4 linked regions of the Danio rerio genome follow. The protein of the gene in region 3 interacts with the protein of the main gene of each other region in a biochemical or structural test. Links are inferred from orthologs where the notes say so. Each region holds a gene or a part of one and is shown on either strand. Other genes may lie near its edges. The genes, in order: tab1, ikbkb, map3k7 and usp4.

Region 1 (3,953 bases), on a different chromosome or scaffold from region 3:
AAAAAATGTGCATTTAGGACACGCCCACTCAGGGAATCAATAGAGACTAAAAGCATTTAGGCCACACCCACTTGGGAATCAACAGAACATGTGCATTTAGGACACGCCCACTCAGGAAATCAATAGAGACAGAAAGCATTTAGGCCACACCCACTTGGGAATAAAAAATGTGCATTTAGGACACGCCCACTCAGGGAATCAATAGAGACTAAAAGCATTTAGGCCACACCCACTTGGGAATCAACAGAACATGTGCATTTAGGACACGCCCACTCAGGAAATCAATAGAGACAGAAAGCATTTAGGCCACACCCACTTGGGAATAAAAAATGTGCATTTAGGACACGCCCACTCAGGGAATCAATAGAGACTAAAAGCATTTAGGCCACACCCACTTGGGAATAAATAGAACATTTATATTTAGGACACGCCAACTGAAGAAATCAAAAGAGATAAAGCAATCAGGCCACACCCACTTGGGAATAAATGGAAACTGTGCATTTAGGACACACCCACTCAGGGGATTAAAAAATTGCATTTAGGACACGCCCACTGAGAAATAAATAGAACATTTACATTTAGGACACTCCCACTCAGGGAATTAATAGAGATAGAAAGCATTTAGGCCACACCCACGAAGGAATAAATAGAAACTGTGCATTTAGGACACGCCCACTTAGGGAATCAATAGAGATATAAATAATTTAGGCCACACCCTCTCAGAAATCATTAGTGACAAAGCATTTAGGCCATGCCCCCTCTGGGGAATCTTTAGTGACAGAAAGCATTTAGGCCACACCCACTTGGGAATCAACAGAAAATGTGCTTTAAGGACACGCCCACTCAGGAAATAGAGACAGAAAGCATTTAGGCCACACCCACTTGGGAATAAATAGAACATTTACATTTAGGACACACCCACTGAGGTAATCAAAAGAGATAAAGCAATCAGGCCACGCCCACTTGGGAATAAATAGAAACTGTGCAATTAGGACACGCCCACTCAGGGAATTAATAGAGAAAAAGAATTTAGGTCACGCCCATTTGGGAATAAAAAATGTGCATTTAAGACACGCCCACTCAGGGAATCAATAGAGACAAAAAGCATTTAGGCCACACCCACTTGAGAATAAATAGAAACCATGTATTTAGAACACACCCACTCGGGATAAAAAAATTGCATTTAGGACACGCCCACTGAGGGAATCAATAGAGACAGAAAGCATTTAGGCCACACCCACTTGGGAATAAATAGAACATTTACATTTAGGACACTCCCACTCAGGGAATTACTAGAGATAGAAAGCATTTAGGACACACCCACTAAGGAATAAATGGAAACCATGCATTTAGGACACGCCCACTCAGGAAATCAAGAAACAGAAAGCATTTAGGTCAAACCCACTTGGGAATAAATAGAAACAGTGCCCTTATGCCACGCCCACCCAGGAGATCAATAGACGCAGATAATTTAGGCTACACCCACTTGAGGAATCAATAGACAGATATTTTAGGCCACACCCACTTGGAATATGAACAGGCACCACACCCCCTCAGGGAATATAGAATGTTTGCTAACCTATCTAGCTATGTGGGTTCATGCTAATAGTAAATAAATAATGTATTCTTTATACATATATTGTCGTTCCGTTTGATGATTTGGGTCACATTAATAATATTCACACTTCCCAATGTCTGTTAGGGTGCATGTAGTGTGTATCCATCCGCCCTTATTTTCACATGCACTGTGGTACTCTTTAGCCTGCGAATGTTTCAGTGCACTGGAGGAGTTTTGCAATTGAGACAGCTGACGCCTTATTCAGTGCACTGACTAGTGAACAAGAGCGCTGATTGAGACGCACCCTCTGTGTTTGTGCAGCATCTTGAGCTGATGATTGGTTATTGATCTACCTGGTTGACCTGCTCCGGTCCGTGTGCCGCCTCCAGGGCTTTGATGAGCCCCTCTGACATCAGCAGCAAGAAGCCCGTCACGCCTGCCAGTGATTGGCCGCCGTGGATCTCAGGCTCTGCGATGATTGGCTTATGCTTTGCTGCACTGTGAACATTAGTTAAACACATGTTCGGTTGGTTGCTGCTTTAATAAAAACAAATATTAACCCCTCCTCCTCTCCGCCCCTGTGCTCACTCAGGGCTACTGTTTATGCTAATGAGGGAGAGATGGGCACTAGTGGGCGGGGCTTTCCCCCTCTGATGACACGTGCAAAGGGAGAATGTCAATCACAGTGTGATTATAAACAATACATCTCTTTAATGTGTGTGTGTGTGTGTGATTACTGACAGATGAACACACACCTGAGCACGTCGATGTCTGTGTAGTTGAACTTGACTTTATAATCTCCGATGCGGCGAGTGCTGCTCTGACCTGAGATCACTGCTGTCTGTCTCAAGCGCACCGGATCCAGACCTGCGCAGAACACACACACACACACACACATTTACACACAAACATCACTGAGATCGCACGCACACACATACACTCGTCATATTTCTGCCCACGCTGTTACTTGCAGACTAATGAATGAGTTGTGTTATGTTGTGTTGACTCTGTGTGTGTTGTGCTGTGTGGTGTGTGTTCACCCAGCTGTGCGAGTCTGGTCAGCTCGTCTTCATTATCAGTGGTGTGTGCTCGGCCGATCTGGATCACCTGATTCTGACCATCACTGGTGGTTTTGCACAGGAGAGCTCGATTAGTGCCTGAACACACACACACACACACACACACACACACACACACACACACACACACACACACACACAGAACATTACAGTTACACATTCAGTAGACGCTTACACACATCAACAACTGTAGTGTGCGTGTGTGTGTGTGTGTGTGTGTGTGTAAGAGTGTGTGTTTATTTTCTGTGTGTAAGTGTGTTTCAAACTGATTGTATTTGTGTGTGTTTGTTTGTGTGTGTATGTTAGAGTGTGTGAATAGTGTGTGTATGTATGTATGCATGTGTGTATGTTAGAATGTGTGTGTAGGAGTGCATGTGTAAGAGTGTGTGTGTGTAGTGTGAATAAACAGTTTATTTGTTTGTGTGTAAAACTATGTGTGTATTTGTGTGTGTGTATGTTAGTGTGTGAATGACAGAATGTGTGTATGTGTAAGAGCATGTATGCATGTGTGTAAAAGTATGTATGTTAAAATGTGTGTGTGTGTGTGTGTACATACCTACGTTAGCGATGTAGAGTTTGTTGTTGAGGATGAGCGCCACTATCGCTGTTGCTCCTCCTGAAACCTCCTGCTCTAAAGTCTTCAGACGGTCTGCTATCTTCTGTGTCTGAGCGGACACATACGCACCCTACACACACACACACACACACACACACACTATTGAATGTGTGAGTGTTTGTAACTGTTTGTGAGTGTGTGTGTGTTTATTTGTAAACGTGTGTTTGTGAGTATGTGTGTGTGAGTGTGTTTGTTTGTTTGCAAATGTATGTTTGGGAGTGTGTGTGGTTGTAACTGTGTTTGTGAGTGTGTGTTTGTAAATGTGTGTGTGTGTGTGTTTGTGTGTGTGTGTGTGTGTGTGTTTGTGTGTGTGGTTGTGGTTGTAACTGTGTTTGTAAGTGTGTGTTTGTTAATGAGTGTGTGTGTGGTTTTAACTGTGTTTGTGAGTGTGTGTTTGTAAATGTGTGTTTGTTAATGAGTGTGTGTGGTTGTAACTGTGTTGGTGAAGGTGTCTTTGTAAATGTGTGTGTGTGTGTGTGTTTGTGGTTGTAACTGTGTTTGTGAGTGTGTGTTTGTAAATGTGTGTGTGTGTGTGTGTTTGTGTGTGTGTGTGTGTGTGTTTGTGTGTGTGGTTGTGGTTGTAACTGTGTTTGTAAGTGTGTGTTTGTTAATGAGTGTGTGTGTGGTTGTAACTGTGTTTGTGAGTGTGTGTTTGTAAATGTGTGTGTGTGTGTGTGTGTGTTTGTGGTTGTAACTGTGT
Region 2 (4,924 bases), on a different chromosome or scaffold from region 3:
GCTCTCATCTAATCAATTATGTTTTATTAGGACAATAAAAATATTATTACTATTAGTGCAAGCATTATTATTTTATTATATTTTTAGATGTAATATTTTTTTATTTTAGAATTATTATTATTTAACTAGTGTAATTATATTTTTCTTTAGTTTTCTTTTAATTAAAATGTATTAAGTAACTATACGCAATTAATTACAATGTTATAAATTATTTAGAATGTTATTGTTTTGGTTAACTCTAAAAAACAAAAACAAAAAAAAAATAGTTGTTTTTAACTCAATGCTGGGTCAAATATGGATCGACTCAACCACTGGGTAAATTTATGAAACATTTTTTAACCCAATAGTTGGTTTTGTGCATATTTTACACAATGATTTTTAGAATGTATGAAGACAAATGATATCTCTGTAAGCTCTTGTATAAAAATGAATGTTTAATTAGGACAAAAAAATATTATTCCTATTACAATTAGTACAATTAATATATTTTTTATTAATATTAATATTTTTTTATGATTTTAGAATCATTATTTTAAAAATATTGCAATTATTGTTGTGTCTAGTTTTTTTTAATTAAAATGTATTTAGTAGCTATGCGTAATTAATTAGAATGTTATTAATTAATTAGAGTGTTATTGTATTGGTCCCACCAAAAAACAAATGTATTGTTTTAACCCAATGCTGGGTCAAAATGGACAAACCCAACCACTAGGTTATTTTTTTCAACTAAATGAAAAATTAAAAAAAATTAACCCAACAGTTGAATTTGTCCATATTTGACCCAACGTTTTTAAAATGTATGAAGACATTATATCTCTGGAAGCTCTCGTCTAAAAAATAATGTTTGATTAGGTCAATAAAATTATTATTATTATTACTATTAGTACAATGAATATTATTGTATTATATTATTTTTTATTATTGTTTTAGAATTATTGTATTATTTAAATATTGCAATTATTGTTTTCTTTAGTTTATTTTAATTAAAATATATTCAGTAACCATTATAATGTTAATAATCAAAACTTAAATTATTGTATTATTTAAATATTGCAATTATTGTTTTCTTTAGTTTATTTTAATTAAAATATATTCAGTAACCATTATAATGTTAATAATCAAAACTTAAATTATTGTATTATTTAAATATTGTAATTATTGTTTTCTTTAGTTTATTTTAATTAAAATATATTCGGTAACCATTATAATGTTAATAATCAATACTTATCTATATTATAATAATTATAATGTTATTGCGTTGGTCCCCCAAAAAACAAATGGGTTGTTTTAACCTGATACTGGGTCAAATATGGACAAACCCAACCAATGGGTTAATCTCTTAAATTAAATTAAATTAAATATTTTAACCCAACAGTTAGATTTGTCTATATTTGACCCAAGGTATAAGGACAAATTATATATCTTGAAGCTCTTGTCTGAAAAATAACGAACTACAATGTTTTATTAGAACAATAAAAGTATTATTGCTATTAATATTTTTACTTTTAGTATAATTATTATTATTTACTTTTATTTTCTGGATTTTATAATTAGTATTATTATTAAAACTATAATTATAAATTATATATAATATAATTATTTAACCTATAATTGTTTTCTTTAGTTTGTTAAATTAAAATGCATTTAGTAACTACATGATTAATTAGAACGCTGTTGTATTGGTGCACTGAATGAGTTTCAACCCAATGCTGGGTTAAATATAGACAAAAATGGAAAGGTCTCATTTAAATTGAATTGATAAAATCAATCCATTACCACTTCTGTCTATAAATGACCAAACATGTTAAGACAACCCAGCATTTATAGAATGTTTATTATTATGTATCTGGTTCTATTATGAGTGTATTTAAAGAGTATTTAGATGTACAAATGACAAAATAAGAGCCCGCATCGTCGTTCAGATGACTAAAGACTGATTTAAAATAACAAACACTTTTAAAACAGTGATAAATATGTGTATTATGCAGCTTTGATAAATGAATGGCTTTTTTATGACCTGTGCATTTTTTGTACACAAAATCGGGACAAATTTACATACAGCTGCTGAATTACAATACTTATTAAAATAGGATCATTCTTGTTTACAAAATATTATGTTGTAATTATTAGTATTTAGTAACTACGTAATTGATTAAAAATGTAGTGTATTCATTCACTTTTTCTTTGAACAAAAATCTATTAGTTTAAAGTTTCATACAGCTGTTAAATGTTGAATACAATAGTTATTATTAAAAATTATAATGATTGTTTTCTTTAGTTAATAGATTCATTGTTATTAGTACCTATGTAATTAAGTAAAATGTTATTGTATTGAATATATTATGCATTTGGTTTCTATTCTGGGTGTATGTGGATATAAATGACAAAATAAGAGTCACACAATAAGAGTTTATAGATTAATAATTATTATTATTTAGTAACTGTGTTATATTGTTATAGTTTAGTAACTGTAATTAATTAGAATGTTATTGTATTAGCTATATTATGTATTTGGGTCTATTTTAAGTGTACTTAGATATACAAATTATACAATTAAGATTACATACTCATTTGGACAACTTAAAAGCTGCGATTTTATTAAATATTATTTAACTTTGATGAATGAATCACTTTCGTTTTTAATAACCGGCTCGTGTTTGATATTTGTACACACAATCTGATTATCTTAAAGCTTCATACAGCTGCTGAATTACAAAATAACTCTACCTAAGTAAGTAAAGTAACGTTACATATGTTTAAGATTGTTTATGTGCGATAACACTCTTCGTGTTTACTGGAACTCATCGTGTCGTGAATGTGAAGTGATTTTACCTGCTGCTGTAAGACTGGATCTGACCTCCAAAATACACTTTTCTCCGTCTCACAGCTGATTATTCCCGCGACTTTTACACATTTAACGGATTTGTTCGGTAAATCAGACTGTAAAGAGGTTTGTGATTGTGTTTGAAAGCAGAAGAGCGTTGAGTTTCTCTACTTCCTGAAACTTTCCCCCGTAAGTACCGTAGAAGCGCAGACTCAAAAACAGACTTCCGTATTTTCAATAGCCTACTGTACTGTACATACTGCATACTAAAAATACTTCACGAAGAATTTTACATTTATTATTACCGAGATTAAAGATACTACAGTAATTATATAATAAATATTATGTTTTTTATTTGAATTAACCTGTTGGGGTAGTTGCTATGGTAACACAACTACTATATTTGGCTAATGTAAACAACTGTACTGGGTAAACATACGTCATGAAATATACAGCATTTATTATTAACTACATGAAAGATACGCAGTAGTTATAAATATAATGTTTTTGAACCGTAAAGTACTTCAATAAATATGTTGTAGTAACTCTGTAGTTAATATCATAACACAATAACTATGGTAGGCTAATATAAACAACTGTACTAGCTTTCTACTGTACTGTATACAAGACTGTACTGTACTGAAGAATTATAGGACATGTATCCTTACCTACACGAAGAATATTAGCTACTACTGTAATTATATAGTAAATCTTATGTTTTTTAACTGTACAGTAGTTGAATAAGTCTGTTGTTGCAACTATACTTACTAGTAACACACAACAACAATAGTAGGGTAAACAACTACTAGTTTTCTTCTGTACTGTATGCTATATGCTATATACAGCATTACCTACGTGAAAGATACTACAGTTATTATAGTAGGCTAATATAAACAACTAGGCTTAACATACTTCACAAAGAATTATACGGCAATTATTATACCCACATGAAAAATACAACAGTAATTATAAATATGTTTTTAACCGTAACGTACTTGAATAAATCTGTTGCGGTAACTCTGTAGTTACTATGGTAACACAACAACTATAGTAGGCTAATATAAACCACTGTACTAGTTTTCTTCTGTATTGTATACAACACTACTGTACTGTAGGTTAAGCATACTGAAGAATTATACAGGATTTATTATTACGTACATGAAGAATACTTCTGTAATTATACAGTCACAGTGAATATAATTTTAAACCGTAAAGTAGCCTACTTTAATTTGTTGTGGTAACTATGAAGTTGCTATAGTAACACGACAACAATAGTATGCTAATATAAACAACTGTACTGTAGGCATACTTTATGAAGAATTATACCACATTTATTATTACCTACATAAAAGATACTACAGTAATTATATAGTAAATATTATGTTTTTGATTTGAATTAATCTGTTGTGGTAACTCTAGTTGCTATGGTAACACACAACCACTATAGTTAGCTAATATAAACAACTGTACTGTAGGCTTAACGTACTTCAAAAGAATTATACAGCATTTATTATTACCCACAAGAAAAATACTACAGTAATTATAAATATAATTTTAACCGTAACATACTTGAATAAATCTGTTGCGGTAACTCTGTAATTACCATGGTAACACAACAACTATAGTAGGCTAATATAAACAACTGTACTAGTTTTCTACCTTTCCGTATAAGACATTACTGTATGCTAAACATACTCAACGAAGAATTATAAAGCGTTAAGTATTGCCTACATTTATAGTAATTACATAGTAAATACTATGTTATTGAACCAAGAACTTAATTAAATTTTTTTGTGGTAACTAGTTGCTATGTTAAAATACAATTATAGTAGGCCAATATAAACAACTTTACTAGTTTTCTACTGTATTGTGTAAAACACTACTGTATAAGAATACTCGAGTTATCATTACATGAAAAATATTTCTGTGGTAAATATTATGTTTTTAAACCGTAAAGTAGCTTAATTTAATTTGTTGTGATAACTGTGAAGTTGCTATAGTAACACGACAACAATAGTAGGCTAATATAATTTACAACCACGTTTATTATTGAATACATGAAAGATACTACAGTAGTTATATAGTAAATATTATGTTTTT
Region 3 (4,176 bases):
GCCAAACGCTGTTGGTTTGTGTTTTAATCAGGACTGGTAAAAGAATGTTGAGCTTCTTATATTTTCCAGAAAGAATTTTGCCTTTAAATCAAACTCAAACTGAATAAACCAATCCTCAAACAGCAAAGCATTTAAAGCATATTCTTTACAATATTTTGATCAAATAAAAGCAGAAACACTTACTGACCCCACATATTAATTGATAGTGATAGCATGACATTCTAAACGCATCTTAAATCTGCACCTTCAAATTCTAGTTTTTGATATGAATTTAACTGCAATTTAAAAAATAATGTAAAAAAAACCCAGACAAGATACACAGCATTAACAAAAAAAATAAATAAATTATCTATCCGCTTGTTAAGTCATGACGAATGGTATACTGTTTACGGGTCCAAGTTGCCATTCATTTGAATAGAGAAAATATTCATTCATGATAAATTTTTAGTCATATCCCACATAAAAGGGAATTTTATATAAAATCATAGTGTACACAACAGTCCCTGGCTTAACTTTCTAGCCATCGGAAATAAGGCATGGATATATATATATATATATATATATATATATATATATATATATATATATATATATATATATATATATATATATATATATATATATATATATATATACACCGTGATTTTCAAAAGTATTACAGTCGTCTCCCCATACAGTTTGATTGAGCACTTGGACCCAGAAGCCGCTTTGCGTGACATCACACTTAATATGCAGATTAAAGGTGGTTGAACTAGGAATTGCATTTCTGGATCAAAACAAATGCAAGCGCAGGTTGCCAGATTCAAGACTAGGAGCAAGTCAATTACAAGACAATTAAGCCTAAAGGCGGATTCAAACTGTGTTCTATATAAAAGCAAAGGCACGCAATAGAAGGAATATTTTCATATTAAAAGGAGTTTTTGTTCCAACCAACAAATCAAATTAATATTTGAGAAACAGCTTCTTTTTCTTGCAGCTGAACAACAAAAAACTGAAAATGATCACCTCAGGTACACCTCATGTGCTTTATTCAGTGTTAAATGCTAATAATGTAAGTTTGAATGTCATTCATGACATCTATTGGCATACTATTGAAAGCAGGAGCAGATAGATCTAGATCACCTCATATCTAGAAAATAAAATAAACCGTTTGAAATTGAACTTCAAAACTGTGACTTTAGCCTTTACACTAAATAATGGTGGTATTATTTAATATGTATTGATTAGATTATAAACCTTACCATTCTGTGAGTGAGTGCATATTCTGTGCTTCTGAATGGCTGTTTAAATTTCTGTCTTGTTTCGTCTGGTGCAAACAGCCACATTGCTTACTACTGCGTATCTCGCCACGTAACGTGCTGTTAAGAAATAGGGTTAAAATGTAACCTGCTCACCTAATGTTTACATTCATAATATGTTTAAATGATTTGCTAATTATTAACCTAATGTGGATCTCTGAATCTGTGTCTCATTTCGGAGTCTGCTACTGACCACAGGTGGTCGCATTTCAGTCATAGGCGCATGCCTTGAGAGCCTTTCTGAATTAATAAATGAATGAAATACGCTGTTTTCCAACAAGGCAACCTGAGGTGCTGAAATATAATTGGCTAAACTAGCAGTGGGCGAGTTAAAAGAACTAAAACAGACAGCCTTTTGGCACATAACTTGCATTCTCAAAGCAGAATATATAACTTTAGCATTGTTTTTCAAATATACAAGAATTTTTACTTAGCATGTTTCTTAAATATCTGCAAACATATGATGTTATGCTTAAAAAAATTAAAAACATTACAAACAGCACCTTTAATATAGGTGCATAACTAGTGTGGTGGACAAACCATCAAATGCCCTTTATATGACACATGCTATTAAAATAATTGCAGATGTTTAATGCAGACAAACTAGAATCATTTTGAAGATATTTTGTTGATGTCGAGCTGCCCAAAATAATAATATGCAATCAAAGGGTATCACACAACAAAGCAGCAAAGCTATTTCCCATAAGCTCCTTTTCTGCCGTCCAGGGTGGGAAAGCCTTTATCTTGTCTGCCCTTTTTGAACAGATGAGCTAATTTCCTCTCATGCTGCCCTGGAGAGCCTTAATTGCTGCTCTTATTATTCTTAAATTACAGCGACTTGCGCTGGTATGTCTTTACGCTGCCTTGCTCTGGTCTTCTGATAATACTGTTGTCAGTGCAGCAAATAAGGAGAGCTTCGTCTCCTCTGCTGTCAGCACTAGTGGAGTAATAACATGGGATTTCTGCTCCTCCCCAAACAAACAAGATAACAACCTGCTCCTAATTGATGTTTCCTCCGACCCCCCTGACAGTAAAATGCCCCTGAACGTGTTTGCTAAAATTGAAACCCATTACCGGTTGATTGCGGACGCATGCATTAAATTATAATGCTTTCATCCATCATCTAGACCAGGAACATCCACTAATTCTGGTTTTAGGGAAATATTTGTATGAGTGATAGCGAAGACTAAAGAGGCCTGTGTGAAGTCAATTAATGAGAAATACAGGAAGAAAGGGGGTGAAAAGGTTAACAGGAAATCATTTTTGACCTCAAAATCATCTGGGACAAACAAAAACAATGTCTCCAAGGCAAAGCCAATGACAGTACAAGCATGAAAAATGCTTATGGAAAGGAAAGTATTCAAAACTTGCCTTCGAACACTTCTGGGGCCATCCAGGCAGCACTTCCCTTATTGTTAGTCATGTGAGTCTGGATGTCACACGCTGTCCCGAAGTCACAGATCTTCAGGACAGTACCTCCAGCAACCAGGAGCAGACTAGTAGAAGGAAAAACAGACATAAACAAATAAATAAAGAGATCTCCCAGAGGGAAAAAAACACACACATGGAACTCACTTTACAAATGAATTTGGCAGTACTTTGGCAAAAATAGTCTTAAGCCCCAGTCTGATCACACGATTTTTATTGACGTTTACAAAGTCACTATGTCAGATCATGCAATTTCTTTTCTTGATAAAATCTTGACTTGTCGTGGGTAGCAAATGTGCCAGACTATATGTTCCTTCTCGATCAGTCATCCTGTGACATCTACGACGAGTGTTATTTCTATAGGTTGCTAAAACAATATATTTTTATTCTCATTATCAATTTTGTTTCAAGTTTGTTTTTTTAAATCTTATTTTAATGTCAATAAATACTGATGATCATACTGATGATAGGATAGGACCAAACTTATAATTCCTTTTTAACAGGGGCGTAGCCACGGGTGTGTCGGTGCCTAAATAAAATAAATAAATAAAAAAGAAAGAAAGAAAAATATTTATATATTAGGCGCTTATAGCCTATTCAGCGCTCAAAAATCTCACACCAGTTAAAGTAATGATTAAGAGTCTGTTGGAGGAAAAGAAAACATTTTAATAATTTGTTATTAAAATAGTGCAGCATTATTCTCAGTCAGTGGATGAAAATATAAAGATTGCAGACGCTGCAGACATTTCTTTTCATCAAGATTTCACAGAGACTGCATGAGAGAAAGCTCATCTTGTTTATTTTCTTTATTTTACAAATATACAAATTTAGTGTTATTGTGTGTACGTATATTTCCATGGTTATATAGACATGGTTCTAGTATTGCATAAGCAGGGGCTTTTTTTAGTATTTAAATTTCATAGTTACAAAATACATTTAAAGACTATTTTAAACACTTTTAATTATTCAGGATTATTTATTGCACCAAAAGTCATTTCAAAGGAACATTCAATGTTCATAAACTTTTAAACTGCTTAATTTGTGTGTAAACACCTGATGCAAAAAACTTATTTAGGCCTGCTAAATGCATCATGCAATTTGAAATACACATTTTATCCTTTTTCTGCAAGTTGTATGTAAACATATAACCTAAAATTACTTAAAAACTTAATATTGGCAGAGTGTGTCTCACGAATAAAGTGTTTATTAAATGAAAAGTCAGGTGTCTATTGCAGCATTCATTTATATATGCATGTGCATGATGCATTTAAAGCTTCAGAAAATGGCTCATCAAGGACGTAAATGCTTTTTACAAGTCGCAATCAAAAATGACGATAATATTTTGTATTGGAGAGCTTAAGCAAACAATCCGTGAAGACGGGTTGATGCAAGTACAGTATACTAATTTATCAGACAGCTATACCCACTTCTAAATCCCCTCTGATACGCG
Region 4 (4,176 bases), on a different chromosome or scaffold from region 3:
AACCCAGCAATATCTAGCATAAGATAAATAAAATTATTCCTTTAAAAGGACAGATTCAACATTTTCCAGGAAACTATTACATGACTTGTGATATTAAGCTAGTTTAAATAAACATGATTAACAGGTTTAAAATATACGGACACAAATTATAATTCTAGATCTATATAAAAATATTTATCCATCTATCCATCTTCATAATAGTATAAAAAAATATTGTATAAATAATAATGATGATAATAATAACAAAACAATCAGATGTTTTGCAAAAGATGTACCTAATTGGAAAGTCCACAACAGTGTCGAGCTTGTCTCTCCAGCAGCGGTTGTAGGAGAAGCGCTTCAGATGCACAACCAAAATGCGTGGAAGAGACCACAGATCAAACTTCTTAGTGGCCTGCTGGTGTTTCTTACACGTGGGGCAGTACCTGAAGAGGTGCACAGCAAACAAAAACCCTATTAAAACAGCACTAACGTTGCAATGCTCTGCTAAAACAGTTGACCTTAAAAATATAAGTATTAACGGTGACATGCAATAACCTGAACATGCTCCTCACCATGGATCATGCTCTCCTAAAGTCTCCATTGTAGTAAAGAGCTCAATGCATTCCCGTAAAGCTACTGTAGTCTTCTTCTTTTGAGCATGAAGCATACTCTCGTGTTTGTCATAGGCCTAGGAAGAGATTTTACATTAATGTCTAATGGCTGAAAATTAAATGCTCCATTTTGAAAATGTTCAAAAAATGTACAGTAAAACACTTGTACAGTAAAGACACACTCAGCTGATCAAAAGTCACAACATTTATGCAACAAGATCATGTTGTAAAAAATTTATATTTGAAACCTTTACAAATGAGTAAAACAAATTAAGCAGCATGACTATTTTTAACATCGCTGACAATAAGAAATGTTTATTGAGCAGCAAATCAGCATGTCAGAATGATTTCTACCACTGATGACTGGAGTAATAGCAGCTTTTTCCATCACAGAAATAATCTACATTATAATAAACAAAAAATTATGACAAGTACCTCAGCTTCCTGATCATCATAGCACAATCTTTTTGTGTCCGAGTCCCAATCAATGGCTACTGTTGAGTGAGCTGTAGAAAGAAACGGCTGTTCTTAATGCAAGATCTTACTTATTTTTTGTTACTATTTTAAAACGTCAAATGGTTATAGTTACTTGTTAGCTTCAGTAGATTGCCATCAAATGGAAGAGAACTGATGTTGGCTGTGCCGTAGGAGTTGACCATGCTGAAAGAAAAGAGTTTTGGCCGAGAATTAAAAGATTTTCCTCCGCTACTATTTGGCCCATTCTCTGGTTCAGAATCCTCCTCTCCGTCCACAGTGTCCGAATGGCTGTTTTCTGGCTCTGGACTCTCCTGGTGGTCCATAGCTTCCTCATCTCCTAAAACAAACATTAAACAATAGTAGATCTGTACTAGACATTGGACGATAACAGTGTTCAATGTATACGGCAGTTTGGAAAATTCGAGGTTTTAAAACCGCCAAAATTTTCTGCTATACTGTTACTAAGGTAAGTATAAGACTTTTAATTACTTTTTTTTTTTTTTTTTAAGTTTTTAGGACAACAGTATGTCTAGCAGTAAAGATATCCAAAGATTGTGTTTTAAATTATACAGAAATCTGTTTTTGAAACCAATGATGACAGCAAAATGATTGATTCAATTATTTATTTGAATTATTTAACCTGACATCCAAGCAGGCGCACAAAATCACATGACGTTAATATTAGGTTAGATGTAGGTCGTGATGTCAGGTGACCAAAATGCAATATCTAGCTAGCGTCTAAGGACAACGGTTATTTGACGTCCAATAATGACACAAATGATGTTGCTATTTAATTGATTTTAGTATGTGTTGGAAAGTGACTAAAATCCTACATTGAGCCAACATCTTAAACCAACGTCATGTTGACGTCAAATAATGACATTTATTCATCAGGTATGGCAACCAAAATCCAAAGTCTGATATATAGTTAAAGTGTAACATCATTAGACATTGATATTTGGTTGATTTTACATCAACTTGATTTTCAAATCTAAACAAAATGCAACATCGCCTTAACATTGGGGTCCAATATCAATCTGACATTATGTTGACATCCTGTGCTCGCTGGGATGATTACTGTTCCAAAATATTTTAAATGTTTCTCAAAATAAAATATATTATGCTTAATTTTTTACCCAGACATTTAAAAATAATATATTTTAGAGTAGTAATCAATACAGTGAAACTGCAATATTTTTATCTAAGGTCATCATACCATCAGAATCTAATACTGCTAATCTGTACTATGATGAATGTCAGTAAATGTACAATTTCTCAATATTTACACACATAAGACAATACTCTGATTAAGAATGCATTAAACTGAGATTTGAGCATCTTTAACCAGCTTCATAAGTGAAGTAAACACAAATTAAATTCCTATTTGAGTCTCCTTACTGATGAACAGTTTAGACATGCATTTTTTTTCCACAGCATTTTGTGATTGGATTCACACACAGCAGCGGTCAACAGTTTCACATAAAAACAACAACAAAGGTCGAGCAAGAATTTGTATCTGCCTTTGTCTGTTTTCACATATAGCATGACAAATAATTTACTTCACTTGAAGCTTTCATAAAATTACACCCCAAACAGTATATCACACCATAATGATTTAAATGTGAAATTCTGGAGGAAACCGTAGCATTAGGATGTAACGATGTGTGCAACGAACCATTCTACAAACTAAATACATACAACAAGAAAGAGGGAAAACATGGAAGTCAATGGTTACAGGTTTACAGCTTTCTTCAAAAGATCTTGTTTTAGTGCATCTTCATTTAATGAAAAAATGAAACTCAAAGGTTTGAAACATGTAAAAAAAAAATAATAATAAATAAAATTATGACAATTTTGACACTATTTCTTTAAATTTCTTTAAATTTTAGATTACCGATTACTTGATTGAATTTGTTTACATGGACATCAGTAATTACCTTAATCTAAATAAGGCAACAATATGATTAAGATGTTTATACGAGTTGCTTTTAGAATGGTCCTTCTATGTTCACATTATACATGTTATATTAAATAGATACACAGCATTAGAAATAAGTCAAAATAAAGAATTTTTTCTTAAAACAAGCTAAATTATCTGCTTGTAGGGTATTTTTCTATATTATTTTTATATTTAATAAATATTTTTTATTTTTAATTTATATTTATATTCTAATTATTTTTGTTTAGCATAAATCACATGAATTCCATATAAATAAAGTGATTAAATACAATTCTGTTCAACTATCATTCAGACTTAATTATATCTTTGCGATGTGACTATTGCGGATGTACACATTGCAATATCGATGCTAAAACAATATATTTAGCTTGCTAGTATGAAGCAAGGAATGACAGAAATTTGATACCGTTCACCAAATGGAAAGAAACTTCAGCATTTTAATCAGAGTATTATCTCAAACAAATTAAAATCAGAGTTCTGGCATCCATGTAAACATACTAAACGACAGCATTTGGGAGCTTTATGAAAGTCAGACTATCCTACCATCACAAACTCCATTAGGGCCGTTGCAGGTTCCAGAATGGTTGCTGCCGTTGGATCCAGCGCTGCAGGAAGCTCCATCTGAAACTGGGCTGCTGCAGCCACTCAGGCCTGTGCCGTGACTGGACACTGAAGCGAGGCATTCTGGTGATTGGCTGCTGCTAGAAGATGTGGCTGAAGCAGATGCTCTACTCTCTGTAATGGTACCTTGTGAACGTTTAACGTATCGCCTAAAATAAAAATAAAAGTCTGGTTTAATTGCCAGGATTAAAATAATACTCTAGAACAGGGGTCACCAATCCTGGTCCAGGAGGGCCGGTGTCTCTGCAGGGTTTAGCTCCATCTTGCCTCAGCACACCTGCCTGGATGTTTCAAGTATACCTAGTAAGACCTTGATTAGCTTGTTCAGGTGTGTTTGATTAGGGTTAGAGCTAAAATCTGCAGGACACCGGCCCTCCAGGAACAAGTTTGGTGACCACTGCTCTAGAAGAACAAGAAAACACAATACTAACCCAATTCTCTCCAGCACGCGCTCGTAGAGGGTATCCACGGTGAGGTTGAGGCGCGGGACGGTGATGAGAAGAGGTTGACCGAAGAGCATTGTGC

Evidence for each region.
Region 1: of the proteins of map3k7 (region 3) and tab1, one has a biochemical effect on the other in vitro, tested with the Homo sapiens proteins (4 studies listed by BioGRID and IntAct). The link is inferred for Danio rerio from reciprocal best matches to the Homo sapiens genes MAP3K7 and TAB1.
Region 2: of the proteins of map3k7 (region 3) and ikbkb, one has a biochemical effect on the other in vitro, tested with the Homo sapiens proteins (5 studies listed by BioGRID). The link is inferred for Danio rerio from reciprocal best matches to the Homo sapiens genes MAP3K7 and IKBKB.
Region 4: of the proteins of map3k7 (region 3) and usp4, one has a biochemical effect on the other in vitro, tested with the Homo sapiens proteins (2 studies listed by BioGRID). The link is inferred for Danio rerio from reciprocal best matches to the Homo sapiens genes MAP3K7 and USP4.

What each region holds. Positions count from the first base shown.
Region 1 is NC_133181.1:477,633-481,585, forward strand, and holds part of tab1 (TGF-beta-activated kinase 1 and MAP3K7-binding protein 1), read right to left. Parts: intron 3,324-3,953; coding exon 3,194-3,323; intron 2,716-3,193; coding exon 2,599-2,715; intron 2,426-2,598; coding exon 2,314-2,425; intron 2,057-2,313; coding exon 1,912-2,056; intron 1-1,911. UniProt on the Homo sapiens protein: Key adapter protein that plays an essential role in JNK and NF-kappa-B activation and proinflammatory cytokines production in response to stimulation with TLRs and cytokines.
Region 2 is NC_133183.1:3,546,619-3,551,542, reverse strand, and holds the start of ikbkb (inhibitor of nuclear factor kappa-B kinase subunit beta), read right to left. Parts: upstream 3,005-4,924; 5' UTR 2,833-3,004; intron 1-2,832.
Region 3 is NC_133195.1:26,789,747-26,793,922, forward strand, and holds part of map3k7 (mitogen-activated protein kinase kinase kinase 7), read right to left. Parts: intron 2,795-4,176; coding exon 2,670-2,794; intron 1-2,669. UniProt on the Homo sapiens protein: Serine/threonine kinase which acts as an essential component of the MAP kinase signal transduction pathway. Plays an important role in the cascades of cellular responses evoked by changes in the environment.
Region 4 is NC_133181.1:44,901,483-44,905,658, forward strand, and holds part of usp4 (ubiquitin carboxyl-terminal hydrolase 4), read right to left. Parts: coding exon 4,083-4,176; intron 3,801-4,082; coding exon 3,574-3,800; intron 1,408-3,573; coding exon 1,183-1,407; intron 1,100-1,182; coding exon 1,029-1,099; intron 671-1,028; coding exon 555-670; intron 426-554; coding exon 276-425; intron 1-275.